Linked DNA regions of Alligator mississippiensis. The protein of the gene in region 1 interacts with the protein of each later gene in a pairwise test. Links are inferred from orthologs where the notes say so. Each region holds a gene or a part of one and is shown on either strand. Other genes may lie near its edges. The genes, in order: CREB3, flavin-containing monooxygenase 3, MFSD5 and TSPAN4.

Region 1 (6,848 bases):
AAGGCTGGGGACCGAACGCTGCTGGGAGCCCTGCGCCCCTGCAGGAGAGAGTGTGTGGGCTGGCAGAGGCTCCCGCGGCACAGGGGACAGGCCCTGGCCTGGCTGTTGGGCCACTCACCGCGATACAGGTACTGGCTGTGGTAGTCTTGGTTGAGGACTGTCGCACCAGGGCCTGGAGCTTCCGCAGCTGCTCCAGCAACGACCTGCAGCAGAGCAGGAAACGGGGTGAGCACAGCCGCAGCCCCGGGCCAGGCCAGCCTCCTCCCATCCCCCCTGGTCCCGTAGTTCCAGCGTGCCTGGCAAACAGGCTCGGACTGTTCTGCACCAGTCGCTGGTGCTGCCCTGCAGGGGCTCAGGACCACAGAGGGCCCCGCTGCCCTTGCCAGGTGCTCACGTTGGGGACTCACATGTTCTGCTTCTGCAGCAGCTGCACCTTCTTCTGCAGCTCGTGGTTCTGCACCGTGCAGGCTACCACCCTTCCGGCAGGCAGGGGACACAAGACAGCACATCAGCCAGACCAGACTTGGGGGCTCAGCTCAGCGCCTGGGGGCTGACGGCGCAGGGCAGGAGGGCCCGGCTCCTTGCACATGACTCGGCCCTCCTAGCACTGGGCTCCCAAGGTCTTACGGGGGCAGGGCCCTTGTGCTAGGCACCTGGGAGGAGCCCCCAGCTGACGAGGCAGGGCAGGGCTCCATGGGACGTGAGCAGAAGAGGCGGAGGCTCCCAGAGGAAGAGGGCCTGGCTCTCCACAGCAGGGGCTGGGCCCTCAGCCACAGGAGCAAGAGCTCCAGCTGCCCCGCAGGGGCAGCATGGCAGCTGGGCGAGGCTGTGGGGCTAACAGGACCTCCTATGGAACTGCTCCCCGTGCCCCAGGTCATGGATACAGCCCCTACTACAGGCGCTGTGGCAGGGGGACATGCCCACATCACTGATGCGTGGCTCCCTCCGCCCACGCCGGGCTTGGTACCTGCTCTCCAGCCCATCCACATAGATCTTTTTGCGCCGGCGGCTGTCCTGGGCCGACTGCTTGTTCCGGATCTTGCGACGCACCCTCTTCAGCAGCCGCTCCTCAGCCTGCAACAGTCACTGCTGTCACTGGCCGTGCCCCCGGCACCAAGGCAGGCAGCGAGGCTGGACCCTGGGCCGTGCAGCCACTAGCCCGCGGCCAGCAGGTACCTTGCACAGGCAGGGAGGCGGACAGGGCAGAGCCGCTAGCCCTGGCCCCCGGGACAAGGCTGGCTGCACACAGGCCTGGCAGTTTAACGGGCCGGGCAGCTTCCATCCTTCCGCTGCCCGCTCCCTGCATGAGCGCAGCGAGGCCCCTCGTGACAAGGTGACGCCTTGGCTGCCAGGAGGGCGAGGGGCAGTGGCTGCAGGTCCAGCACAGCAGCCGGCTGGGGGCAGCCACAGGAGTGGGGCCAGCAGCAGTGGGGGCCTGGCCCCCTGCCCCTTCCAGCCACCGAGGCTGAGCCACGTGCCACGGCCCCGGGGACTGGGGCTGCTGCTCAGCACTTGTGCCCACACCTGAACCCCTGCCTGGGGAGGGGTGCGGTGCCAGCGGGCAAGGGCTCACCTTGGTGAGGGGCAGGTGGGACGGCAGTGTGACGCCATCTTTCTCCAGCAGCTGCCTCTCCTCCTCCGTCAGGTCCAGCTGGAGACGAGCAAACCCCAGGGTAAGGAAGGAAGCGCCAGGCGGGGCGGGCGCCGGGAACCAGGACTGTCCCCGCGCAGGAGCCTCCGCTAGTCCGCGGTACCCGACAGGCCTCCCCGCGGGCACCTGCCGGCCCGTCTGCAGGACTCCTGGGAGCAGGGGCTGTACCTGCGTGGGGGTCCCAGGCACGACGTCCTCCACGGCCACGGCCACGGGGAAGCTCAAGCTCTGCTCGCTGCCCGAGGTCTCCTCCGCGCTCTCCAGCCCGGCCCACGCGTCTGGGAGAGGAGGGAAGGGGTCAGACGACCCCCGCCCCACGGAGCCGCAGCCTCCCCCACCAGCTCCTGGGCCCGGGGGCTCGGGGCAGCCCCGGCCGCAGCCTCCTGCCCCTCGCGGCTCGGCGCGGGGCCGGCCCGTGCGCACCCAGGTCGATGAAGACGTCGCCGTCGGCGGGTCCCGCGGGCGCATGCTGCAGCCACAGCCCGTCCCGCAGCAGGGAGTAGTTGTGCTCGAACTGGACGCTGTCGGGGCCGGGGGGGCTGCCGGGGGACGCGGCCCGGCTGTCGGGGCTGTGCGGGGGCTGCTGCGCGGGGGCCGAGCAGCCCGGGCCCTCCGCGAAGGGGCTCAGCAGGGCGCTGAGGAAAGCGTCCACGTCCTCGTCTCCCGGGAGCTGCAGACCCCAGCGTCAGCGTGGCGGGCGGGCGGGGTAGGGGTAGGGGTAGGGGTAGGGGTAGGGGCCGCCCCGCCCCGCCCCGGGGCCCAGCCTCACCTCGGGCTCCAGCAGGCCCCAGGCGCCGGGGTCGGCCGGCAGCTCCGCGCCCTCCGCCAGCAGAAAGTCCAGCAGGTCCCGGTCCGCGTCCGCGACCCCGACCCCGTCCCCGACCCCGACCCCGTCCGCCAGCGCCAGCGGCGCCCGCTCCGCCGCCGCCGCCACCGACACCGACATCTGCGCGCGCACCCGTCAGCGGGGCCGGCCACGTCCGGGGGGGGAGGGGGGGCGGGGCCGGCCCGAGGGGGAGGGGGGGACCTGGCCCGGGCGGGGGGGGCCCAAGGGGGAGGGAGAGGGGCCCAGCCACGGAAGGAGGGGGGCCCGAGCGGGGCGGGCCCGGGGGGGGGGGTCCCGGGCGGGGCGGGGCGGGGCGGGACCTGGCGCTGCCGCCTGCCCGCGGCCCGGACGCCGGGGATCCTGTCTGGGGGGGGCACCTGGGTCCCCGCCCGGGGGGTGCACGCGCCTGGGCTCCCGGCCCCGCCCGCCCGCCCGCCGGTACCTCCGCCGACCCCGGCTCCGCAGCTGCCGCCGCCTCCTTCCAACACACCAGGAATGACGTCAGCGCCCGCGGCTCCCAGCACCCACCGCGCGGCCCCACGAGGGGCCGGAGCCGCCTCGAGCCTCCATTGGCCGCGGCGCTGCCCGCACCCAAGATGGCGCCCGATTGGCCTCACCCCGCCCGGCGCCCTCACTGCGCCGGCACCATCGAGCGCAGGGCCCAGAGTGGCCGTGGGGCGGGAAGCTGAGAGTGCCGCTCTGTACCTGCCCTGTGCTGCTCCCAGCCCCGCGTCCGCCCCGCAGCGCCGCGCAGCCCGCGGGCCAGGTACGGGGGGGGGAGGGGGCAGATGTGCGTGCCCGCGGAGCGGGGGGGCAGATGTGTGTGCTTAGATGCGTGTCCCCAGATGTGGGCGGCCAGAGCGCGCGCCGCAGGGGTCTCCTGCTTAGGCGGGCGCCCGGGGTGGGCGTGCGGAGGGGTGCCCCTAAGAGGTGTGCGCGGCAGGGCGCCCCGCGATGTGCGGGGCGGGGGGCGCTGGGCGTGCGGGCCCCCAGGCCCGGGCCGCCCCGCGCTGCGCAGCCCTCCCTGGGGTCCCCGTGCGCGGCGCCCGGCTGTGCCGGTGCCCTGCCCGGCCCTGCCCGGCCCCTTGCCGTGCCGCCGTGTCAGCCGGGCCGGGCCGGGGCGGGGTGGGGCCCGCTGCCTCTTGGCAGGAAGCGCAGCTCGCGGCCGCCTGCGGCTCCTGCTCGCTCCGCGCCCGCCCGCCCGCCGCTTCCTTCCTCCGCCCCGCGCGCAGGCCCTGGTGGCGCCCGCCCGCCCGCCCGCCCGCCCGCCGGCTCCGGCTCCGGGCCCGGGGCACGGTTTTGTGCGACAGGTTTGTGTGCGGGGCGGGGCGGGGCGGTGGCAGCAGATGCAGGCCGGCCCGGGCGGGAGGACACGGCGGAGCCCAGGCCTGGTGCGGTGCGGTGCGGGTGGGGGGAGGCGGCGCGCGCGGGAGCCCCGGGCCGGGCCCCAGGGCGGGTGCGGGAGGGGCCGCACTTGGTGCTGGATCCCGCAGCTGCCGTTGGGGGGCGGCGGGGGGGCAGGAAGCCGTGCCAACGCCCGTCCCGGGTGTGAGGCATCCTGACTCGCGGCTGAGCCATGGTTTGGCGGCGCCGCGGGGGGCCTGCTGCCCCCTCCCCCGCGGGGCGCGTGTAAGGAGCGTGGCGCACGTGGGCCGGGGCCGGGGGTGTTGCGGTGCTCGGCTGGGCCGCCCTGGCGTTGTTGGCACCTGGGGCTTTGCCCCCTGCTCTGCCCCCTTCCCTGAGACGAGACGGCCTGTCTGGGCCGTGGCTGGGGGCGGGGGTCCCTGCCGTGGAGCCCAGCTGGCTGTGGCCCGGGGGGCCGAGCCGTGCAGTGTCTGGCTTAGCGGGTGATGAATGGACGTGGCCGCGGGGCCTGGCAGCGCGGAGCTGGGCGCTTTCCATTTTTAGTCAGTTGTGTCCTGCAGCTCTTGCTGCAGGGTTCCTGGCTCCCGCCCGCTCCCTGTGCCAGCCCCAGGTCCGCAGCGCTGTGCTGTGTAAGGCTTCCCGGTCCCATGCAGCTGCTGGGCTGTGAAACCACCAGCGTTTCCTGGTCCCTGCCCCAGGGAAGGGATCTCCTCGCTGCGGGAGGTCTGCTGCTTGCCCTCCTGGCATCCTCCCGGCTCTGTGGCCCTGACCTGATGAGACCTGATGACTCTTCGCCTTCACGCCTTCCCCTGAGCTCTGTTGCCTCGTGGGGCTGGGGGTCCTGGCAGTACCTGTCCTGGGGGTGCCTCTCCCCTGCCCCAGTTGCGGGTTCACCCCATGCCCACATTTCCTGAGAGCTGGAGTGTTTCTTTGAAGGCAGCTGCCGGGCTGTCCCCAGCACGTGCTGGGGCCCGGGGACTTCTGAAGGGGATAGGTCGCAGGGGCTGCCTGTCTGTGGGCAGAGGGGGAAGCTGCCTGGGAGGGAGGTGGGCCTGTGCTCCAGGCTGAAGGACAGGCAGATGCGTTGGTCTGTGGGCAGCGGCTTCGGGCCCCGACATGCCCTGCAGAGCGTGGCGGGGCCTTTATCTCGAAGCCCTTCCTGTGACAGCGAGGCGCCAGGTGAGGCGATTGATAGCTTCTCTCAGATGAAGGGCTGGGGGTGCATTTCCACGTGAGGGGTCTGGACAGGTATGTGAGCCTGTTTCTGACTGCTCCTGCCTGGAGAACGGCTGGCCGGACTCAAGGCAGCAGGTTTGCTCACGGTTGCTCCTCTGTATGGGGGCACGGTCAGGTGGGCCAGCCGCCGTCGCCTTGACTAGAGCCACGTCCCGGCTGCGCCCCTCTAGGCACAAGACCCTCTCTTGTATGTTGGCACGGCTGCCCCGCTCCGCTGCGGCTGGGCTTTCGGAGGGGCGCCATCCGCCAGTCCCTTGGCATGCTGTTTGGCTCTTGTTGGCGCTGGCGCCTGTGCAGACATGAGCTGTATCTCCATGGGCAGGAGAGCACGTGGGACTGCTTTGAGCTCTGCGGGGCAGCGCGGGGGCAACGGTGCTGTGCCACCAGAGCTTTGCCTTGCAGGGCTACAGGGCAACTGAGGCAACTGCTGTGGAGCCATCAGCAGTCCTGTCAGCTGAGGCAAGTGCTGCCCCTGCATGAGTGCTGAGCCCGCCTGTGCCCCCCAGCGGGGGTGAGGTTGCGCTCCCCTTCGCCACGTGTCAGGTAGAGTAGCGCCTGAAGTGTCATGCTGCGCATCGTGATGTCTGCCTCGGGCTTGCTGTCCTGCTGCTTGTGCAGGGCAGGAGGCAATGCCATCGCACCAGCTTGGCAGCGTCGGATGCCTCCTGCCCCTCGTGCCCAGCTTTCAGGCCCTCCAGCAGAGGCTGGGGTTGCTTTCGCTTGCCCACGCTTCGTGATGGGGCCTTGGTGGTCCTGGCCTGGAGTTAATTTTAATCTTCTCCTCTACAACGGGGCTTGGCACAAAGTGACCTGGTGCCTCCAAGTGAAGGCTGTGAGGACTGTGTGGCTGAAGAAAATTGTGCAAGGCAAGGGCCTGGAAGCAGGGAGCATTGGCCCTCATGGGCAGGGGCTTTCCCGCTGGCCTGGGGAGGGCAGCTTGGCTCAGGTACATGGGGCAAATCCCATGGGGAGGAGACGGTGTCACCAGTGATCCTGTCCCAGGTGGGGAGACTCCGTTCTGTTAGTGACGGTGGCGCCTGGTAGGGTCCAGACTGGCTGCCTCAGGCACACATGCTGGTCTCCAGCTGGGGAGTGGTGCCGCTGCGGACCGCATTTGACCAGAGCAGGAGGGGCTGCTGTCCTGCAAAGCCCTGGGCCTCCCGGCGGATGGGCAGTAAGCCTGACCCTGTGGGCAGCTTTTGCTCTTGGTTGGGCTGGGGTTGGGTTTCCTGCGCTCAGTGCTGATGAAGTGGCCTGTGTGGGACTGGAGGCTGCTCCGTGCTGGTCCTGGCAAGGCTGTGGCCTGCCGGGGCTGCCTGGGTCACGTGCTGCTGAGCTCCCTCCCCAGGTCAGAAATGCTACCCTGGGAAACAGGAAGGAGCGAGTCCCGTGTTGGAAGCAGCTCCGTGTCTCGTGCCTGGGGTCCGGGGACAGCTCGGCCAGAGACCTCTGTGGTCTCGGTGCCCCACTACGTGCTCGGGAGCCGGCCAGCGCAGAGGGGCAAGGAGGAGGTGAGGGGCCAGGACTGCCATGCCTGCAGGGAGCCTCGTCAGGCCAGACCACCCCAGTAGCCATCTGAGCCCCTGGTGCTTGCCCCTTTTGGGGTCTGACACACCATGCCATATGAGCCATTTGTAGCTGCCAACTCGGCAGGAGGGACGTTCCCAGCCAGTGCCCTGACGCCATGAGAGGTATTAATAACCACTTGTCGTGGTGAGCCAGTTCCAACCTGGCCAAGTTCCCACTGGGTCTCAGTGGGAGCCGAAGCCA
Region 2 (7,014 bases), on another chromosome or scaffold:
CTGGACATCTCTCATTCAAGCATTCCCTGGCAGTGCATGATGCAGGCAGTGTGACCTCTGTGAAACTAGACAGGGGCCTTGGTCCTATTCTAAGCATCTGTTCCATAAAAGAACCATGCTTAGAGATGGTATTAACATGTTTTTGTGGTCACTATGGAAGCTAAAGCTGGAATAGCCACAGAAAGTGAATCCCCCCTAGGCCTCCTTGAGGTAGTCTCTGCAAACCAGTACCGGGATATGTTACAAGGGTGGTATGAAGAAAGCAGCAGCTGCCACCAGTGCCACTACCCCACCACCTTTGCTGTAGCAGTTCAACAGAGAAAGGACTTCATTTTCCTGCCAATTCAATGTCCTTCAGATTTAGTTCTAAATTTAAGAAGAACTAAGTTGATGACTGCCACTTTTTTACTATGGTCTTCTGTACTGGGGGGAGATCACATATGACAATGGACTGCAGGCTCTGAAAGGCAATGTAAGGTGCTCCCTCCTCTTGGTTTATACAGGTGGTATTGTAGACAAAGGCACCCATGTTTCAGACCTGGCCTTACAAGGCCATCCAGTCCCTGGGGAAGGCTTCCATTTCCTTTATGGACTCCATGGTTTGTGCTTGCCTTTGGCTGTTTCCTATAATTTCTCTTTGACAGTTACAGCTGGGTGACTCACAGCCCTGTGCTCTCTGTCCTGGGGTGGTAGTTTCTATCAGTCTGAGGTCCACTACTGGATGAGAAAAGAGAATGGGTGGGGTAGCTGAGTGGTATGTGCATAAGATCACTGTCCCCTGACTTTGGCCTGATGAAGAACCCTCAGAAAAAGAACTAATGCCCCAGCTTGTATTAACATCTCTGCAGTGCTTCCCCTGGGGAACTGGGATCTGCAGCTGTGCAGGTTAGTGCAATGGAACCCCATTACCAGGAAATACAGAGGGATGAAGAGCACCAGTAGGCTTCGTGCATAGGTCCCCAGGGCCTTTCCATGGGGGTAGAAGGAGAAGGAGGCAAACACCAGTTTCCAACAGAACAATATGGGGGCGTATAATATGGAGAACTTCTAGGACTGCTCTCAGACATCTCTTTCAAAAGCCTTCTTCCAATGGTTTTAATGCAGACTGGGGTGATTTGGCCATGAGATCAACCCATCTTCATAGCAGTGCACAAACTTGAACCTTTCCTCACCTCAGTTATTGCTCTATTTTATAAATAGGGAACTTGAAATACAGACCCAGAGATGGGCACATGAATCTCTAGCCAGTGTTAAAACAGAACTGCAACTTACACTGGGCCTTTACGCAGTCCACTATCCCACATCAGTTCTAAATATTTCATCCCAAACATAATGGAAATAAGATTTTACTGTTTTAATAAAATAAGATAATCAATTATAAGAAACTTTCTGTTTTGGAGTAACAAACAACTCCATTAATAGTCTTTATTGTGCCTCTGCTGTTATAAGGAACTCTTTTAAAAAAGGCAGACAGATTTTTGTTATAAACCCCAAAATGGAAAACATATGGAACCAAGCTTTTTAACAGCTTTTCAGTTTTTCAGTTTTCTGAGGAAACTGAAATAAAATGATTTGAGGCTAAATTCAAGCAATTTTTTTCCCTCCAATTATTCGTGTCAGTCAGTAAACTAATAGTTCATCTATTGTCAAATCCCTAATTCATAGTATTTTTCTAACCTGAATTGGAGCCTAGCAAACATGCCCTGATAATGGCTGAATGAATAACCACTGTCATGCTGAAATCCCTGACACTGCCTGCCAAAGCAAACTTGTAATATGGTCTGTTAAGCTGGCTCAGGCTGCACCTCCTTCTTGTCCCCAAATTACTCCTTTACCCTCACTCTGAAATATGTGAAGCTGAAACAAGGTGTTTTTGTTAAGGCATTCAGTTAACTATAATTATTAATGGTGGAAAGCACAATAAAACCCATCCCAGTGACTTACTTTCCTGGCTGCAATAAGAAGGTGCCGGGGGGGGGGGGAGAGGGGGAGGGGGGTTGCACTGCAGAGTGTGATTAACATGAATCAACTTTTACAAGATCTGAAGACCTAAATTTCAGAGCACTCACAGTTCTGAAACTGTAGACGTTCAGTTCCTTTCCATATAAGCCCTTGAGCGTCTGTAACCCATTTGGGCAAGTATTAGCACAGATAACATCATCCTTGATCAATGCCACAAAATGGCATGGTGCTCTTCATTAGGTAATCTCTTGTAAAGATATTATAGGCCCCTGGGCTGAAAGAGCCAAGCAGTCTGTACACCTCATGGAAAGCAATGCAATAATATACAAATACAGGGCCAAGCACACTGGAGGAAAGAGGAGGAAGCTGGAATGTTACTAGACAGACAGCCTTCAGCAATGTGTGTCTTGTCATTACCAAACAAACTCCCCACTTACTGTGAAATTCCAGAGTCCTCCAATGTCATCACTTCTCTCAAAGCAGATGGGATCAAGTCCTTCCTCCAGGCAACACTTAAGGGATGCCAGTCCACTGACACCAGCTCCAATAATTGCCACTTTTTTTAACATGGTCTCCTGTATTGGGGGTGGGGGGGAGAAACATATATGATCAGCTTATGGAATAGGAAAGAATCAGACACACTATCAGCAGAACGGCTAAGAGCTCTGTTGGGAAAAATCAGGGCACCTTTCTGGACAGGTATATTGCACATGCACTCTCTCTCGCTCTCTCTCTCTAAGTAGTTGTAGCTTGTTCTGATTATTACTAATGCTCAGTAAAACAGATTCAGGTCCAATAAGCTAAAGAAATGGGACTGATAGCCAAGACCTGCTGGAGAGTTTTGCTTTTCTCAGCTATTCTTCCTATTTCTCTGGCTCAGGTCAGCAGCTTTCCTTACATTTTCTTCCTCGAAGCCCCTTCCTCCTTCCCCCACTTACATGCATTTCTTTTCTTCTCCAAGCAGCTCCCTGAGTTTCAGGCAGGCAGGACTAAGGCTGTTCCTGATATCTGTTAGTCTTTGAGGCAAGAAATTGAATGGAGGGAGGAGCTTATCTTAAATGGCAAATCCCCTTTAGGGACTTGTTAGACAGTAATTTTTGGGTAGCTCCTGGAGCTCTTAACCCCTGAATTATCCATACATTACACCACTTTAAAGTATGTGGCTCGAAGTTAAGACACTCCAGGGCAGGATTATCTCTGATCCATACTACCCAGCTCTTGTTCTATTAAAGTGTGGCTACTTCCCACAGTTGTGTCACTAGCTGTGTAACAGCATCCAGACCATTTCACAACCACTGGTAAGCAGTCTCTCTAATTGTTAAGGAAACATTCTCTTGTGGAGTTCTTGATGGTCCTACATTTGAGTAACCAGCAGGAGACACCTGAATGCAAATTAAAATGACTGGAGGACACCCAAGTTTCCCCAAATTGCCGCTTCTTAGCAGTGGGGTCAAACTTTTCCCCCCTTCCCATGAAGAACTGTGTCACAAGGAGAGGCAAACCGGGGAAACTCCCAAGCCCAAGAGGGGAACCCTAGGGCCAGCAGTGGGGGGAGGAGCAAGAAAAATGAAAGTAAAAAAAGAAAAATTACTTACAGCAGGACTCGACGAAAAACAAGGACAATGGGGGAAGCTTGCGCGGATTATTAGCTGTGCCTTTATTCAGCTGCGGCCGATGAATGACGTCAGCCCCAATCATCAGCTGGTGGAAATAAGAGGGCCGGCAGTGAGAGAGGAAGGGGGCGCGTGGACGCCAAGGGAGAGTCCAACCAGTGGAGTCAGCTGGGGGCGTGGGACGCCGGGAGTATCGACAGTCACCGGCTGTGGAGGAGCAGACGACCCAGGCAGCGAGCCAGAGCCCGGAATAGGAGTCCCAGCGACAGGCAAGGCAGGAGGCGAGTCGGTAAAAGGGATCAAGGTGCGGGGAGAAGAACGGCGCTGGGAAGACCCAGAGAGAGGGCAGCCGCGCTGGGAAGACCCAGAGAGAGGGCAGATGCATCTCGAAGACCCAGAGAGAGGGCAACTATACTGGAGGTCTCAGAGAGGGGTCAGCAATATTGAGAGGACCCAGAGAGAGGGTCACAATAGCGGGAAGTTGGAGGGAGAACGGCTCTAACCTGGGCAGGGGGGGAGCTGAGCCACGAAGCTAGGGCACCTTGAGGAGGCCCTGTGGGCGAATTGATATGCGGAAGGGCTATCTGTGTTCCGCAAGGAAGCCCAGAAGTGTGGTGATTTTCTTAGGATTCATTAAGTCTTTTTCTTTGACTAGAGAAGGGTATTTTATGTTTCCCCATGTCGGAAGGGGCTGAGGTCGAGTGGAAGCAGGAAAAGTGGGAAGGCTAGCGGAGGGCTCGTTGTTTGGGGAGTGATCATGGAGCACAAGGTTGGCCACAAAAGCGACCAGGATCTGCCGGGCTGGGTATAGGGTGAGGTATAGGGGAGGTGGAGCCTCGCGGAAGACCCCAAAGGAGCAGGCGTCTAACGAGGGCAACCGTGTTGCACGAAGCCCCCCACTGTAAGAGATTCAAAGTCGTGGCAGGTTAGAAAGGGGCAGCTTGCAGCACGTGTAAAGACCTCCTGTAAGACCACCTGCAACGGCAAAGCAAGTCTCGTTGAACGCTCGAACTAAGGAAGCCCGGAACAAGATGTTCGAGGCCTAGCGGGTGCAAACTGTATTAGAGCTTTTCCTATGCTGTCATGGGAAAAGCCTTGGGATATGCAGGTTGCCTTTGGGTAATACTTTTACCTTCTGTAAGCAGATTTATCCTCTTGAAGTCTTCTTCCTGACTGCACTTCTGCATATCCGCTTGACTTTCTTTTTCCATCTGGTTTCTATCTGGCCCGAGCAAATGTTTTTCTATTTTTTAAATGTCCTATGCAATTACCTCTCAGATGTCTAACATTGGTTATTGCCTTTGCTTTCCATAGGTGTAAAACTTGAAAAGCTGGAGGGGGGAAAAGGAAGGAAAAGAACTTTTTACACATCAGTCCTATTATTTTAGCACTGGCTGATGTTTCTGACCTGGTGTGCATTAGAATTCTGTAGAATCTGAGCAGGATCTATAATGGTTCCCTGTACAGCCTAGAACCCCATTAATTTGTCTGGTACATTTACAATCCCCAGCATATACAGAGAATCATAACTGTGATTTATATTAGGGCATTGTGTATAATATTCTCACTTCCATATTATAAATGTTTACTAGGCCTGTGCGAAGTGGCTAGTATTCGTTTTGGATTTGGATTCGGCTGATTCGAGGGATAGCGATCGGATTTGGTGATTTGAATCACTGTCCCGAATTGATTTGGCCAAATCAGCTGGGCAGTGACTGCCCTGCCCACCTGAGCTCCCGGCACTTGGGGGGGAAAACAAAGCCCCGACTCAGCAGGTGCTGCCGGGCAGGGGGGAGATCCCTGCTGCCCCCCACTGCCCCCTGATCCATTGCCCCAGTCCTCCCCCATGGCTGCCTCACTGGCCCCAGCTCTGGCCTTTTAAGAAAAAAACAAAACAAAAACCTCCAGACTCTCTGTTCCTGCAGGTGGTGGGGGGGGGGGGCGATCCCCGCTGCCCCCTGCTGCATTGGGGGCTCTGCATGAGCCCCCAGAAGCCCCAAGGCTGCTGCAGGAGTGGTGAGTCCCAAGGCTTTTCTTTGAGGGTTTTTTTTTCCCTTGAAGGGCCAGAGCTGCATCAGGCAGGGCAGCCATGGCGGGGCTGGGGAAGCAGAGGTCAGGGGGCTCATGCAGAGCCTCCCATACAGTGTGGGGCAGTGGGGATCACCCCCCCTACCCGGCAGCACCCAGTGAGCACCAGGGTTTTTCTTGAAAGGGCCGGGAACTAGGGCGGGTGGGGAACCTGTGGGGGGCTGGGGGAGCAGGCAGGGGATGGGGGCTCCCCCCATGGTCCCCTCCCCCCTTCCCCAGCCCACCTTCCTCCACCCCTAGTACTTACCAGCTCAGAGTTGGCTGCAGCTGGGAGCTGCTCGAATCATCAAAGCTGCACTGGGGACTGCTCGAAATATCAAAGCTCTTCGAATCTTTTCCAAAGATTCGGAGAGTTCTGAATTGATTTGGACCTTTTAATTGGTCTCCTGATTATTCAGATTTGGAGATGCAGCCACCGAATTGGGCCAGATCTCCTCTGAATTGAATCACCACCTGAAGCTTTGCACAGCCCTAATGTTTTACCTTATTCCACAAGGTACCAGAAGAACACAGGAAGGTCATGGTAAGAAGAGTGTGTGGGTAAATGTTTTGCAGTTGGCCAGACAGCAAATTATATACAGAGACCTGCTCCCCTTCCAAACTCCTGAATGGCCACAGGCTAATTCTAGGTTTGCCCCTGTCACCCCCCTCCCAAAAAATAAAGTTTCTCATGTAGCAATTCAATGAGGCAATTGCTGACTTGCAAGTGTTGATGGACGGATTTATTCCTGTTCTAAGTAATGTTTATGAGGAGCGTGCTCCATGTGGAACACATTAAGTAGACAGCATAAAGCACCGCTGGCATGTTAGTTCTAAGGGGGAAGGTAGCCACTGCCACAGTTCAGCGGGGGAACTGCTTTCTCCCTCTGATACTTTCCTTACATGGTGTGTGCTTTTTCCAGGGGACCATGTCTCTGAATGCTTAATGCACTATTGCAGCAAATGAAGATTGATCCTGATGGCTGCCCCACTTTGCTTTGAAGTGCCCCAAGCCAACCTGCTACCATTTGGTGTGCTAAGGTTTGCTGCTCGCCATCAGTGCTGCAGTGCTGTTTGCCAGCATGGCCTGGGTGCAGAGGGAATTAGTACCAGCAGGGATTTAACCACTTTGGGACCCAGAGGCTTTGACTCTGTCTGCTCTATAGGCACCCAGCTGACTGGGGCTGTGCTGCTTCTGAACCTCTCTGAGATGCCCTGACACTACCCTGTTCCTAAACAATCCAACTCAGTTTAGATGCCTACAACCCACCAGTTCTATCATAGAGTAGGAGGCAAGAGCCTGTATCACTAAGCATTCACAGCCTGCCTGCCACTGATTAGCAGGTGGTAACGTGTATCCTGGATTTACCAT
Region 3 (7,063 bases), on another chromosome or scaffold:
CCCACGCACCCCCTGCAGCTGGAGAGGACCCAGGACAGGGATTGGCAGCCAGTGCTTCCCCAGGAAAACAGAAGGAAAAGAGTGGGAAAGAGGGAAGGAGAAAACCTGGGAAGAGGATGGGGGAGGAGGGTGAGACCAGACACACTTCTGGGCAATGACCTGCTGGGTGGTCCCAGGCCTCAGCCTCTCCAACAGCCCCTGCCTCTAGGAGACGTACATGAGGTTGCGAGTACACCAGGTTCCCCAGTCCATACTGGGCTGCCTGCCCCTGCCCCCTCCAGCAGTTGCATGCCCAATCACCCTGGGATGGCCTCCAGCACCACAGCTCCTCTGAGCATGGGGAGAAGCCAGGGCAGCACTGCAAGGTGTCCTGCAAGAACCGCTCAGCCTCTGCCACCTTTGCCTCCCCACGCTCTGCAGACGCAGCAACGTGGGGCTGGTTCTTTCTTGCTTGGATCCTGACCCGTCCACAGCCCGAGCCCAGAAAGAAACCTCGCGGGCTCAAAAACCATTCTGTGGAAGCAGTTTTATTTTTCTTAAAAAATAATAACCAGAGTGGAGGGGGACCCTTGGCTTCTGCAGTGACAGGGGGTCAATACTTTAATACACAGACAATCCCCCTGCCGGCAAATGCTGGGAACCAGGTGGCTGGGCCCTGCCACCAGTGTGTTGCCTGCCACAGGCAGGCCCTTCCCCAGCACCACTGACATTGGCAGCTTGAGAAAAGAGGTAGAGGAGGGGAAGGAGAGAATTGGGAGCACTGGGGGCAAGAGGAGAACCCAGGGGTGCCGCACCACGTCAGGACAGCAAGTTCCCCAAAAGAGTCAGAATACATGAGTCCAATGCTGCAGCCCAGGCCTCAGAGCTCATTTCTCCTCAGCAGCCCAGTATCCTACAGAGCCCTGCCCTCTACAGGAGGATCACAGGCATCCCACTGCCCTCTGGGACCATGCTAGCTGGCAAGGGTTGTTCTGTCATGCCAGGTGGCTGCAACCCCTGCTCAGAGCTCTGGGGATGACGGCTCTGTGTGTCCCTGCAAAGGCGGCACCTGCAGCTCAGCGTTGTTCCGCACCACGGTGAAAAGGCTGACGACAGCCAGCAGTGCCATGACCATCATGACGGAGCAGATGGTGAACATGTTCCGGGTGCCCGTCTTGTAGTCACTGTCGTGCAGGATGAGCATGCCCAGGCAGGCCAGCAGGTTCAAGGGCACCCGGAACCAGTTCAGGACACCCGCTTGGTCCTTTTCGGGGATCACCTTCCGGCGGAGGAAGCCCATGGCCGGGAAGTAGAGCCCACAGGAGAGCTCGATAAGCAGGAAGGCTAGGAAGGACTCAGAGGGATTCTCCTGCCCTGGGTTGGTGGAGAACGTCAGCATGAAGAGGGAGAAGAAGACCATGAGGACGGAGAGGGAGAGGATGTGCATGGGCTGTAGGTGGTACCGCTTGGAGGTGGCGATGCGGTACAGTGACGAGCCCACCATGCTGGCAGCCATGAAGCTGGAGAAGACGATGCCCAGCGGAGGCCCATGGGGGTCCAGCACAGGTGTCCAGAGGAAGATGAAGATGTAGATGACGCTTTCGAACAAGGCCTGGATGATGCCCAGCAGCAGGACGCGCCGGTCCGAGAGGAGGCACTTCAGGCCGTCCGTGCAGGTCTTGGAAAGTGCCCGCTTCTTACCGTAGTTCTCCTCCCAGTTCTTCATGGCGAAGATGCCGACCAGCGCAAGGAAAGGGATGGACACCATGAAGGGCGCCACCGGGCCCAGCCCCGCCCACTCGGCAAAGAGGTTGGCCGCCACACCGGCCCCGACGGCGATGACGTTGTTCCAGAAGGCGGCTCTGGCGAAGGTGGCGGGGATCCACTCAGCAGGGAAGTCGTGCCGCTCCAAGTGCTCGTGGACGTACCACGCCTCGAAGGCGGAGAACAGCAGGGCCGTGGACAGGCCGCCCAGGATCCTCCCCACCACCAGCACGAAGTAATCCCATGACAGCTTGGTGAGGCAGCAGATGGAGTAGGTCAGGGAGAAGAGGATGCAGGATTTCTTGCGGCCCAGCCAGTCCACCAGGGAGGTGGAGACCAGCCCAAACAGGACGCTAGAGGCAAAGCCACACACGTAGATGATGGCGATCTGCCCCTCCAGGAAGTGGTAGTGCTGGTACAGCTTGTAGAGGTAGGGGCCCTGCAGCCAGTCGGCTGCCAGCGCCAGGAAGTACACCTGGTAGTAGTCCAGCTGGAAGCGCAGGAAGGCTGGGTTGGTGCAGGCGCTGCCCGTGAGCCTGGAGCGGCAAGCGGAGAACTCCAAGCCCAGGCATATCGCCAGCAGGACCACGAAGGCCACGTACGCCGTGAAGAACATGGTGCCTCAGAGCATCCTGCGCTGCCCGGGCTCTGCTCCGCGGCTCCTGGGGCCAGAGAGGGACACGCTGCCAGACGGGTGGGGGACTCGGGACAGCCAGCTGCGCGGCCCTGTCCGAAGGCTTCACCTCAGGCCCGTCCCCAGGAACCACTGGGGCCGCCGGGACACGGGCTCTGGCTCGGCCCCGGCTCCTCACCTCCCGCCCGGGACACTCGGGCTGCCGGCGTCGCGGCCCCGCGCCCGCCCCCACTTCCGCTTCCGCGTTGCCTCTCCTGGGCGCCGCCATGTTGGGCGGTGTCACGTGATTAACCCGCCCGCTTCCGCGTTGCCTCTCAGGGCACGTGATCCTCCATTTCCGCGTTCCCTCGCCCGGGCGCCATCACGTGATCCTCACTTCCATGCTGCCTCTTGTGGGCGGTGTCACGTGATGCTCCCCATTTCTGCGTTGCCTCTCCTGGGCGCCGCCATGTTGGGCGGTGTCATGTGACCCATGCCCCCCCCACGCTGTGACCTTTTACCTTTGTCACTTTTGACTCCCACTTTTCCTCTATGCCCCCCCTTGGCTGTCATTAAGAAAAGACCCACTGCCCCCCCCATGCCATCTTTGCATTGCTATGGCAACCGGCATCCCTGCAGGGGGAGCATGACCCTGGCATGAGCCGAGTGTGGCCGTGGGCAAGCGTGGCCCTGGCATGGGCGCAGCACAGCAATGGTGTGGGCACAGGGCAGCGTGGGCACAGCCGAGGAGCGCCGCAGGGCAGCCGTCAGCGGGGGCCACGAGCCACGGCGCAGCTCCCACGGTGTGGCACTCCCAGACCCGGCAGGGCAGGTGGCCCGGCCCACTCCCGGCTCCTGCGTTGGACCGGCTTCTACCCAGCTCCCCTGGCTCCTGACGCTGGGGGCTCAGGGTGCAGGATTACACCCCCCCATCAACCCTGCCCCGGTCCCAGGACAGCCACGCCTGGGCCACGCTGCCACGCTCAGCTCTGTTTTCCTTCAGTTTATTGCACTTTGATATTCGAGAAAAAATAAACGCTCTCTGTCCACGGCGTCCGGCCGCCCCCGGCCCGACTCCGAGGGGGCGGGGGAGGATTCGCTGTGCATCATTCCTCATAAAAGTGCAAAGTTTGGGGGCTTTTTTCTTCCGACGACCGAACAAAGCAGCAGCAGCAGTTCCACGCTCCTGCAGAGAGCACCCCCCACTCGCGCCATGCATGGGGTGGGCTGGGCGTATCTGTCCCCCCCCTATCCCCGCACCGACCTGATATGTATGGGGATGTGATGGGGGGCAGGCATTGCCCTGTGCTTGGACCCCAGCCCAGTGACTGCCCCCCGCCCGGAAGGGGAATCGAGTCTAGTGGTTAGAGGAACAGGAGGTCAGGGAGACCGGGAAGAGTTGGAGGCAAATCTCCTGTGTTCAATGTGGGCCACACAGCTTCTTCAGCAGGGAAGAGTCCATCTTCAGAAAGCCCCGTGGCCCAAGGTGGGACCTGCGTGGGCAAAGGGAGGGCCCCAGGGAGGTCAGCCAGCAAGCTGCCCCCCCTCGGAGAACCAGGACCCCTCCCCACAGGCTGCTGAGCCCCCTGCGAGCCACAGAGACGCGGGCTCAGCTGTGCCGGGCATCAGTGGAAGCCCTGTTTTTGCTTGAGATGTTAAAAAATCCAAGACCAAACACAGCAGGTGGGGGGGAACAGGGAGATGGGAGTGAAGGAGCTGTGGGACAGCCTCTTGGCATGGCTCTTCCCCACAGCTGGAAGCAAATGCAGCCCCCAGGACCCCTGCAGGAGCGAGCCTGGGCTGGGAAGGGGCGGGGAGGGGAGACATGGGGGAACACAGCATGCAGCTGGGGGGCATCTGTCCCCTGGGACCTACTTGGCATGTACAACGCAGGCAGGCTGGATATATACAGGCGCGAGCCTCGGGGCAATAGAGAGGCTTGCACATGCACGTTTGCACGTGCTGCCAGAGGAAAGTAGGGCATATGTACAGTGCCGTGCACAGTGTGCCACGGCGGGGATCAGTCCAGGCCACCATGCCGGGCGGTGGGGCCCGGCTGGGGCTTGAGGCAAGCAGAGCCTGGCTCCACGGGGCTTGCCCAGCAGCACCGGCCACCCCCTTCCCTCCGCCCAGTCCGCGAGCGACGTTGGCTCCAGCTCTGGCTCAGGGGTCGATGCGGAAGGCGAGGAGCTTCTCCGAGTGCTGGTTGTTGAGGGTCCGCAGGTCAGGCAGGCGCAGCAGCAGCTTGGGGAAGAGGGTGGAGTCGTCGGGGTGCTTCTTGGTGACCAGCGTCCGCAGCGCCCGGATCAGGGTCTCCTGCAGGATCTCCACAGCCTCCACGTCTGAGATGCCCGAGCGGTCTGTGGAGCAGGCAGAGCTGCCTGGTAACACCCTGCCCGGTCCCAGGGGGATCCCCTGAGCAAGGAGGCAGCCGTACGAGGTGTATGACACATGTGGCCTCTCCCAACACAGGGACCAAACTCTCCGGGGGAGGGAAGGGAGGAACAGGACTTATAATGCAGACCTGTGAAACCCCCGCCCCTCTCTCGCATGTCTGGAAGCCCCCAACCTTAGCTGGGCAATGCTTATTTGTGAAAGCCCTGGGACAAACCCCGCCCGGGCTGGAAGGGGCCAGGCTTTGGCTGCCCGGATACCCCCAGGCTGAGCTGTGACCTGTAACCAAGCCTTCTTCTTGCCCAGGGGTGGAGAGCAGGATCCCCCCACTCCCCCCGAAGCGCTCGCCCACCTGCGGAGACGAGCACGACGGCCATGAAGAGTGCCATCTCCTGGGCGTCGAGCCCCAGGGTGCCCAGCTTCTCGCTGAAGTCAAACATGGCATCGAGCAGGGCACCCATCCCCATGGCCCGAAGCCCGCCCAATGCGTGCGTCTCCCCACTCAGGAACGTCACCGCCTTCTCCTTGGGGTCGAAGAGCGCCGCAAAGCGCACCATCAGCACCTGCGGGGAACCCCGGTCAGTGTGCCCTGCCCTGCCCAGCCTGGCACAGTGCAGGGAGCGCCCCCGCGGGCAGCACTGGAGCTAAGCCACGTGGCCCCAGAAGTTCAGACGGCGGCTGGGAGCAGGCAGCAAGGCTTAGGAAACCCGTTTGCGCAGGGGGAGGTGAAGACACCCACAACACGAGGTATGGAGGAGTGCAAATACATACAGAACTGGACCCCTGCACACACATGCACATGAACATGCATGCACAGACATGCACATGCATGCACACAAACACATGTGCTTGCACACACAGAGAACAGGGCCAGATCCCTCCAGCATGGGGCAATGCATGCATACACACACATGTGCACACGCATGCACAAAGCAGGGCTGGCTCCCTCCAGCAGGGCAACATGCACACACACATGTGTGCGCGCACACAGAGCTGGATCCCCCCTGCAAGGGGCAGTGCATTAACACACACAAACACAGACACACACACCTGGAAGGTGCCGGCCTTGAGCAGCATGACCTGATCCTGCTGACAGAGACCCTGGAAGCCGGGGATGCTCTTGGCGAACTCCACCACCTCCTTGACAGCGGGCGTGAAGCAGCGTGAGAACTCCTCCCACGCCTGCTGCCGGCTGGTGCCCGGGCTGCAGCAGGGGCTGGCATTGAGTGGGCAGGCCTGGGCAGCATGGCGGGGCAGAGTCAGCTCCACCACACTGGGGTGCCTGGCTCCCAACCCCCCCAGGGTCCATCCTGCTCTGCCCAGCCCCCTGCCCCCCACGGTGACTGGTTTGTCCAGGGCTGCAGGGAGCTGCAGGGTTGTAGCTCCTGGGTTGTATTTCCAGCTCTGGGAGAGTGCTTGGGTCTAAGGAGGGTGGTCTGGGAGCCCAGACTCCTGGGCTCTATTCCCAGCTCTGACTCCAGTGCATGGCCCGGATGCCACTGCTGGCCTCTCTGTGCCTCATTTTCCCCCCAGATGCCCAGCTGTGCCTGCCCTACATCCCCCCGGGCAAGGGCCCTGTGCTGGGCTCCCCCATTCCTCCCAGCTGGGGCCAGCCCCGTACTTACGATGCCTCTGCTGGCTGCCCCCCGCCATGGGCAGGTACGCGGGGGGCTGCCCTCAGCGTAGCCGTACTCGAAGGCGGGGTAGCTCCCGGGGCTGGGCAGGTAGCCGGGCTGCTGGGCACCGTAGAGGTCGTGGCCATAGCGCTGGGAGGTGTTGTCGGGGTAGCTGGCGGGGTCGTACCCAGGGAGACGCAGGCTGGCAGGGTCGTGCTGCCCGTAGCCGTAGCCGGGCGAGAGGTCGGCGTAGCCAGGTGGGGGGCCAGGCCCGCCTGCCCGGTCCTGCCCGCTGCCGAAGATGTCGTGGTAGGCGCGGGAGATGGCGCCGATGGCCTCCTCCTCCTGGGCCACGGGGCTGGGTGGCGCCTCGCCCTCGGGCGCCAGCCCCGCGTCCAGGGGCGCCTCACCCAGGCTGCTCATGTAGCTCTGCATCTCATCCAGCAGGCGCTGCTTCTCCCGCTTGGGGATGCGCCCAAAGCGCACGGCTGTGGAGGGCATCGAGGATGAGTGGGGTGCAACAAGCCCCTGGCAGGGAAGGGTGCAGAGGGGGCCCCACAGGCGCCCAGGACAGCCCTGCAAGGCTGCGGTGGAGTGGGAGCTGCTTAACCCACCCCCCCAGACCCTCTCACCTCCCGTCCCAAAGTGCCCGGCCAGGCTGGGGGGTACTCACCGTCGCGGGACATGCCGACGGCCA
Region 4 (7,310 bases), on another chromosome or scaffold:
TGGACACGATCATCATCAATCATTCCTGCTGTGCACGAAGCATGTCAAAGGGAAACAAAGTAGAGACCGTGCTGCAGCACTTGACACCACCCGTTCCCTGTGCCTGCACTGTTATGATGCATATTTTCTTTCATTTTAACCAGCCCTTTCCCCCCAAATGCTTGGGACAAGCGTTCATGGTTTCAGTGGAAGAAAATCTCCCCCTCCAACCCTCACCCCTGCTACTGAAAAACTGTTACAGCTTTGCCACTGTGAAACACTCTGAGGAAATAGCCTGGCATCTTCCCATTGTAAATGCATGCACATTGCACGCAGCAATACATTTTTAAACATATGCATAAGCTTCGGTTCAGGCTGAATGGAATAAAAGGAAGCAGCATAGGGAGAACAGTCTTTGTGGCACCGCCAAACATAGTTTTTAAAAGGGCTATTTATGCCAGAACTCCATCGGATTTCTCTAGCACACCATTCAGATTGCCGACTGCTCCATAATCTTGGTCAGAGGCGGCTGATTGTCTAAGAGGAAGCAAAAGGCTTAAAAGAGCAAGAACCAGCATCCCTTTCTTTTTCAGGAAGCTTTGGAATAAGCTGGGATAAACATCAGGCGACTTATGGGACCCCAGCAGCATGTGAAAATCAGAGCTGGAAGACAAGCTGCAGTCCCATGGAGACACTTTCTATCAGCTTATCTGGGGCTTTAAAAGGCCCCCCTCCCTGTTTTTTTATATCCCTTCTTTGAACCAGGACACTCAGTGGATGCATATTAGTTTATTACATCCTGACCCCTTGGCATTGGGGTGTTACTCATACCAGTGGAACTTACCTACATGTAGTGCTTTCTGATGCACAAGACACTGCAGCATGCATGGCTTTAGCAGCTGTACTCTAGTGCTTAATACAAGGGGGAAAAATACTCTTTCAGTTTAGTGCACACATCCTTTTCTTTCACCTCTGGCAAGGCATGATAGCATAGAGAATCTGTAGTAAGCAAGCAAGGAATTTCAGCTACAATACACTCCCCCCTACCCCATGTCCTTTCTTGTACCAATATAGAGCTGCCAGGACACTCCCTTCTGCCTTAGCACACTGATGGTCCACATTGGGGGCAACACAAATGAAGTAACTGAAGACAGGCCCCTATTAAGAGAGCCTCCCACACTGGGAACTGCAGTGGGCTACCTTCAACAAGAACTCCCTTTCTCTACCATCTTACCAATCAAGTTATTTCATTTTAACATGGATCACAGCATTCAGGACCCTCACTGCAGAGAAATACCCACCTGCCTGCTTTTGCCAACTGCTTAATCTATTAAAATGACATAGAGATGCATGCAGATACGTCCTGTCCTGTGTGCCGTGGTGGCCCATGAGTACCTCCTATTCGGGTGAATTCAGGCCATGAAATAACCACCTCAAATAATTCAAACTAGGTGAGACAGGCACTGGATTTCAGTTTAGATATACAACTCTGAGAGGAAATACTTACACAGGGAGCCAGCAATGATGGGGAAGAAAAATTATCTGCAGATTCCTCATAACCAACTGAATAGTGTAAGATACTTAGCACATTGTCCTAAGTCTAGCAGAGCACTTCAGCACTTGCTTATTTTTAAGCACACAATAGTCCTACTGATTCCAATGAGACCATTCACATACTCAAAGTTAGGTGTAGATTGAACTAGTGAAGAATCAAGGCCATGCAGTGAACATACAACTTCCAGGTACCAAAGAACATCTATACAAGTGACCTTGCATACAGTGTATTTTGCCCTATATCAGGGTCTTACTGTTTGGGTTGTAGAACCACGCATATTATCTTGGCTCCATCTAAGCATAGCCAAAGGAGGACTGGCCTAGACCTCACTTACATGCGATTTTCAGCTGTTAGGAAGCGTAAAAGAAACAATAACCTTATAAAGCACCACAAACAACTTTACAAACCACCACAAACTTAATAAACACAAATGCAAACATCTTGTGGTTTGTAGCATGTACTCACCCAGAAGAGAAGGTTGAAGACAAACATTAGGTACTTGATGCACTGGAGACAGTTGTGAGCCATGCTGCACCTCTTCAGTTCTAGGAGAAAAATAAATGAGAGATCCAGGTAAAAGACAACGTACTTGTTTCCCTTGGGGGACGTGTACTTAGCCTTGGTGGCCTTAGGGCCTGGGTTGGTGTGGAATCCAAAAAATGAGTTGCTGGCAGCTCCAAACTGGCCACCGTACATGCTGCTGTAGCGACGGAAGGCGCCATTTGGAAAACTGTAATCCTTGCTGTCCAAAGAAGGGCTCCTGTGATAGGTCGATTCATCGGTGCTAGACCTGCGCATGGTGACTTCCGAGCGGTCCGTGGTTAGTAGTGATGCAGTAGTTGCTGAGTGTTGGCGGCGGGGGCGATAGGCTTATTAATTATTTTCCTCTTTCCTTATCCCCCTATTGCTTTGCAACAGCTGTTCTTTGGCCTGCCATTCTGTCAAGGAGTTAAGCGTGCAAGTTGGTGAACTGAAGTCTGCTTAGCCAGGAGTAAGGGAACAGCGTGCTTCCGCGTGAGAGAGATTTCTGAACAAGAAAACATTCCCTCCGGTGTCACACTTTCCCCCCCGGCCCGGCCCGCTACCAAAAACGAAAAAGAGAGAGAGAGACACTGTACCCAAAGCAACAAAATTTAGAAAAAAGTTGGATCTTGCATTTATCACAAATGCCATATAAAACCTTGGCTCCACATGCCACCCACTTGCATAGGGGACGCTGCACAGCTTTGTGGGCGAGAACAGAAATTATCCAAAAGGTGAACAGATCCCATGCCCCGTTGCTCTTAGCCACATTGCTCTGCCCTGAGATGCTCCGCTCACTTTAATGATCCCTGTTTCCTCTCACACAGACAGAGCCTATGGTAAGTGAGCCACGGAGCTTCATTCACAGTGCTGCTGACACTCCTCTGAGACTCCAGTCCAATCATGCTCTCTGCTAGTATACAGTCACAGCTCTGTGGTCCATCCCTGCATCTGAAGCGAGAGGCAGAGAGAATGAGCTTTCTTACTGTATCTCATGAATGCAGGCTCAGCACTCTCGCTGGCTCCTGCCCTCCCCCAGCCAATCAAAATTATCCTCAGACAATATTACTCTCTCACCCCCACCTTCTTTAAAATAAAACCTCCCCTTGGTTTCTTCTTAGCAAATCCAGCATGAGCTGCTTTTAACCAATCAGCGTGCAGGTGGAGGGACCACAGCATGTATTTTAGATTTCACCAGGTCCGTTCCCTTGGATAATTCTATTCTCCACCAGTCCAATATACACTGGAACATGGGGTGAGTTTTAATCATCCCAGCTGCTAGCAGCTCCTGAGATTTAGTTTTTAGCAAGGAGCAACTGAATTCAGATGTAGTCTGAAATGCAATCGGTCTTAAAAGGACTGAGTATGTCTATATGACAGACTGAAATATTCACACTCGTACAGGGAGTGTTGATCACATAGGACAATCAGAATTTTGACCAAAAAAATCATGCATCCTTTGCACATGTGTTTTGTAGGAAAGTCTGTCAAAAAGGCTAGCTCAACCTGTGTACTAAGTCTATCAAGGAGGGGGGCACTCTCCTGTTATATTGTTACACTACTCAGTGTAAAGTTCTGTCAGTTCATTTGCCTCTCTGCCAACATACCTGTCTCTGTCTTTGTCCTGTAGCCTGCTAGACTGACATGTGGGGGTATCACATTCTCAAACTGGCTGCTACCACACTGACATTTCAACCACCTTTTCACCAAGCAGTCTACAATCTCTCATGCAGTCAAACAGGGGTGGCCAAACTGTGTCAGGGATGCCGAAGTGGTATGGGCAGCCTCTGTGTGGCACTTGTCAAACCAGGGAGGGGGCAAACAGCGCAGTGTCAGACAAGACAGGGAGCACAAAACAGAGCAGCAGATTGGTCAGGGAGCAGAAAGCAGAACAGATGATCTGGCAGAAGGAGGGGATCAGAGTTATACTCAGAGAAAATGTGGGGTTAATTTGTGACATGCCTGCCACAAAATATCTAGTTGGGGATGGTCCTGCTTTGAGCAGGGAGGTGGACTAGATGACCTCCTAAGGTCCCTTCCATCCCTCATTTCCTATGATTTTTTTTTAGCCCCCATTGCAGTAGAACTTCTTCAGAAAGGGAGCCTGGGACTATGGTTACATGCATAGGCTGAGCCTCAGAAGAGCTAGGCTCAATTCCCTTCTCTGCTGTATGTTTCTTATATGACCTTGGACAAGTCTTTAGTCTTCCCCCTGTGCCTCACACCCCCATTTGTAAAATAGGAACATTATTATCTCCTTTCTCCCCTCCTTTAAATGTCATGTTAATTTGGATTGTAGGGTTGGGAGGCAGCAACTGTCACTGACTGTTTCCCTGGGGCAGGGTGAAGAGGTAGCTACTAGCTAGCTGGTGTTTTTAAATGGCTTGCTCAGGTAAAGAAACAATCAAGTTGAAACCAGGTCTCTCATAAGAGCCATCACAGCGGCACCAACACAAATCAACACAGACACAGACATCAATTAATTAGAGAGCAAATTAGAGAAAGTGAGATGTGGTGGTTTCACATGGTTCATTCTCGCAAACCATCCTCTCACTCAGTTCATTTATAAACTGCTATGCTAGAGTCTAATGGTTCTCATTCATCTTCTCTCCAGGATAAGAATTCACCAGACACAGGCTGTTAGCATCTTTTTTTTATGGAAAAAATTTTGTGTCCGAAGTCAAATCAGCCAAATCAATTCCAAATCTGTGTGAATCATTCAAGAACCATATGAGACCCTGCTACCAGCAAGTATCCTCCACCCCCGCCTGGAGCTTCAGATACTTCCAAATCCTTTGGCAGGTGTTCTATGTGCAAGCCCAAACCTAGAGGCTTGGGGTTCAGATGCCCTGAGTTTTACATGCCCTCAGCCGTATGCCTGAAGCAAACTAGGGAGGAGTCTCCTTTTTTCTTTTTTTTTAAAGGAAAATTTTTCATCTTCCAAGCCAAATCAATTCCAAATCCGTGAGTCATTCAAGAACCATATGTGGCCCTGCTACCAGCAGACATCCTCCACCCCTGCCTGGGGCTTCAGATGCTTCTAAATCCTTTGGCAAGTATCCTATATGCAGGTCCAATCCTAGAGACTTGGGGTTCAGATGCCCCTGAGTTTCAATTTGCCCTCAGCCATATGGCCACAGAAGGAGTCTTCCATTTCCATAAAGCGGGTGTAAAGCCAAGACCTTCCCACTGGAAGAGAAAGTGGGAGGTCAACTATACATTACCTTGGACAAGGTCCTACCCCCACCAAGAAAGTGGTTTTCCCCTGCAAGTAGGAAAACTGCCTTAATGGTCATGATGTTCCCCCTGGTCATGATGAAATATCTTCCCCACAGTGGGTTAGTGCAGCCTGTCTCCCCCCCCCCCCCCCTTTTTTTTTTTTTTGCAGCCTATCTCCCATTAGGAAGAAAAACTATGCACTCCCAGATTCTAAGTGTGGCTCTGATCCCACTTGCCTCTGAGCCTTGGGTGAGCTACAACTCACCCATCCCTCAGTTTCCTCATTCTGTTTAAAGAGGCATTTTTCACAAGGTGGGCTCTTACAATCCACACCTGCTATCTGCTCCCTCCCTTTTCTCTGATGTACAAACCCAGTCCCAAAAATAAAGTCCTTGTCTTCCAGGGTACAAGCACTGTCCCAAACAAACAGAATTCCTGGGCTTCTGATTCACCCTTTACTTTTCCTGTGACTGTCACTTCCCCGCTCTGATTCCTCCCTGTGCCTGGGAAATAGAGGCATATGAGTTCCCACCTAATCTATCATAGACTCCCTGAACAGCCTTGCCTTAAAGCATCTTTTTGGCTAAAAGCAGATGTCAGCTTTATCTCCAGTATGATTGTCTGGGGCTTTCACTCCATCAAAATGGGTGTAGGACAGTCACTTACATGCTTGAAAGGCAATTAACTCCACTTAGACCAGATAGTCCAGAAGGGGGGCAGAGAGACAGTTTTCTTTGTACTTCACAGGTACTTAAAAGTAGAACAATGGGCTCTTCCCTCTGTAGGATTCTAGAGTAGAAGGTTTTGTCCCTGGAGAAATTTGGTGGTTTTAGCCTTTATGTCTAGTAAAATGAGGGTAACAACACTACCAGTTAGGGGTACTGTGAGATTAAACTCATTGATGCCTTCAAAATACTCAATATGAAATATAAATTTTCATTTCTACCTAGGAGAACTTTTACAATCTTTGCAATCTCCTATGCCTGGTGAAGGGTGCCTGTGCCCAAAAGCTTGCAGATAAAGCCATTTTTTTTGCAAATATCTAGTTGGTCTAATAAAAGGTATCACCTTTGTCACTAGTTTTGATTCAAAACACTCAGATACTGCAGGCTATATCTCTGCAGAGAAAGAACTGGTGAAATGAAATAATAGAGTAGTATTACTAAATGGATAACCAGCAGGACATTTCTCGGGTGCCAACATAATTCCTTTGTATCTTCAGGATGTATAATCTGTGTGGGTGGTGAATCATGTTTGTAAAACACCCTTTGTGAGCATATAAAAATGCCCATGCCCATGAGCATACATTAATTGGTGGACAATGTTGCACATAGACAATGTTGAAATAGTGTCAGTTGACCACTTGGTATTAACTGTGGTGCTCTACAGTGTTGCTGAAGTAAAACAGAGGCCAATTCAGCATTTCCATTGTAAATCCTGTTCCTGAGGGTCCTACAACTAATCCATATTTGCCGGCATCCAGATGAAGGAAGAGGCAGAAGCACCAGATCTGATGCTCTCTTAAGGTAGCAAATCATCAATTCCCACTGAAAATAAGCAGTGAATTCTCAGTTTTCTTTTGCCTTACTTCCTCTTTTTCATTTCAACCACCTGCACTGAAGATCATAAGGAACCAGAAGTAACCTGACAGTTGAGAGGATGGAAGTGCAAAATTATTTAAACTTGCTAGAAACTCAGTCCTCAATGCAAAGGGTAGATTTATTTATAAAGTGAAGCAGAAGAAAGGAATGCCTTAAAGTGGCTCCAGAATGAATAATAAACAACAATGTGTAGTGTCTACCTTTCAGACAACAGGATATCTATACTGGGAGAGGGAAGAAGAGAGGCAGAGGCCTTTCAACACCTCACCTGTGGTATATATCTTGTAGTAATGCCAATTCCCTAATGGGCATCTTTTAGCAAGGAGCTTCATAGTAAATCTCTCTTTCATATCTATGAAGAGCTAATTTGTGATATATAATAATTTGAGCTGCTGGTAAGATTCACCCTCAAAATCCACCTCTTTTAAAATCAT

What was found.
Region 2: the proteins of CREB3 (region 1) and flavin-containing monooxygenase 3 interact in binary tests that used the Homo sapiens proteins (3 or more experiments, as listed by UniProt). The two-hybrid records come from large-scale screens. The link is inferred for Alligator mississippiensis from reciprocal best matches to the Homo sapiens genes CREB3 and FMO3.
Region 3: the proteins of CREB3 (region 1) and MFSD5 interact in a two-hybrid assay, tested with the Homo sapiens proteins (2 studies listed by BioGRID and IntAct). The two-hybrid records come from large-scale screens. The link is inferred for Alligator mississippiensis from reciprocal best matches to the Homo sapiens genes CREB3 and SLC61A1.
Region 4: the proteins of CREB3 (region 1) and TSPAN4 interact in a two-hybrid assay, tested with the Homo sapiens proteins (2 studies listed by BioGRID and IntAct). The two-hybrid records come from large-scale screens. The link is inferred for Alligator mississippiensis from reciprocal best matches to the Homo sapiens genes CREB3 and TSPAN4.

What each region holds. Positions count from the first base shown.
Region 1 is NC_081826.1:303,315,007-303,321,854, forward strand, and holds the start of CREB3 (cyclic AMP-responsive element-binding protein 3), read right to left. Parts: upstream 3,002-6,848; 5' UTR 2,920-3,001; intron 2,598-2,919; coding exon 2,421-2,597; intron 2,322-2,420; coding exon 2,075-2,321; intron 1,930-2,074; coding exon 1,820-1,929; intron 1,652-1,819; coding exon 1,574-1,651; intron 1,075-1,573; coding exon 968-1,074; intron 477-967; coding exon 408-476; intron 204-407; coding exon 119-203; intron 1-118. UniProt on the Homo sapiens protein: Endoplasmic reticulum (ER)-bound sequence-specific transcription factor that directly binds DNA and activates transcription. Plays a role in the unfolded protein response (UPR), promoting cell survival versus ER stress-induced apoptotic cell death.
Region 2 is NC_081828.1:45,459,575-45,466,588, forward strand, and holds the start of flavin-containing monooxygenase 3, read right to left. Parts: upstream 3,004-7,014; 5' UTR 2,907-3,003; coding exon 2,901-2,906; intron 2,538-2,900; coding exon 2,400-2,537; intron 1-2,399. UniProt on the Homo sapiens protein: Essential hepatic enzyme that catalyzes the oxygenation of a wide variety of nitrogen- and sulfur-containing compounds including drugs as well as dietary compounds.
Region 3 is NC_081838.1:9,208,012-9,215,074, forward strand, and holds MFSD5 (molybdate-anion transporter), read right to left. Parts: upstream 2,762-7,063; 5' UTR 2,360-2,761; coding exon 1,001-2,359; 3' UTR 512-1,000; downstream 1-511. Other genes in the region: nuclear receptor subfamily 1 group D member 1, read right to left, coding at 4,520-4,716, 5,103-5,313, 5,801-5,986, 6,376-6,854, 7,040-7,063. UniProt on the Homo sapiens protein: Mediates high-affinity intracellular uptake of the rare oligo-element molybdenum.
Region 4 is NC_081825.1:184,699,017-184,706,326, reverse strand, and holds the start of TSPAN4 (tetraspanin-4), read right to left. Parts: upstream 3,023-7,310; 5' UTR 2,333-3,022; coding exon 2,000-2,332; intron 1-1,999. UniProt on the Homo sapiens protein: Structural component of specialized membrane microdomains known as tetraspanin-enriched microdomains (TERMs), which act as platforms for receptor clustering and signaling.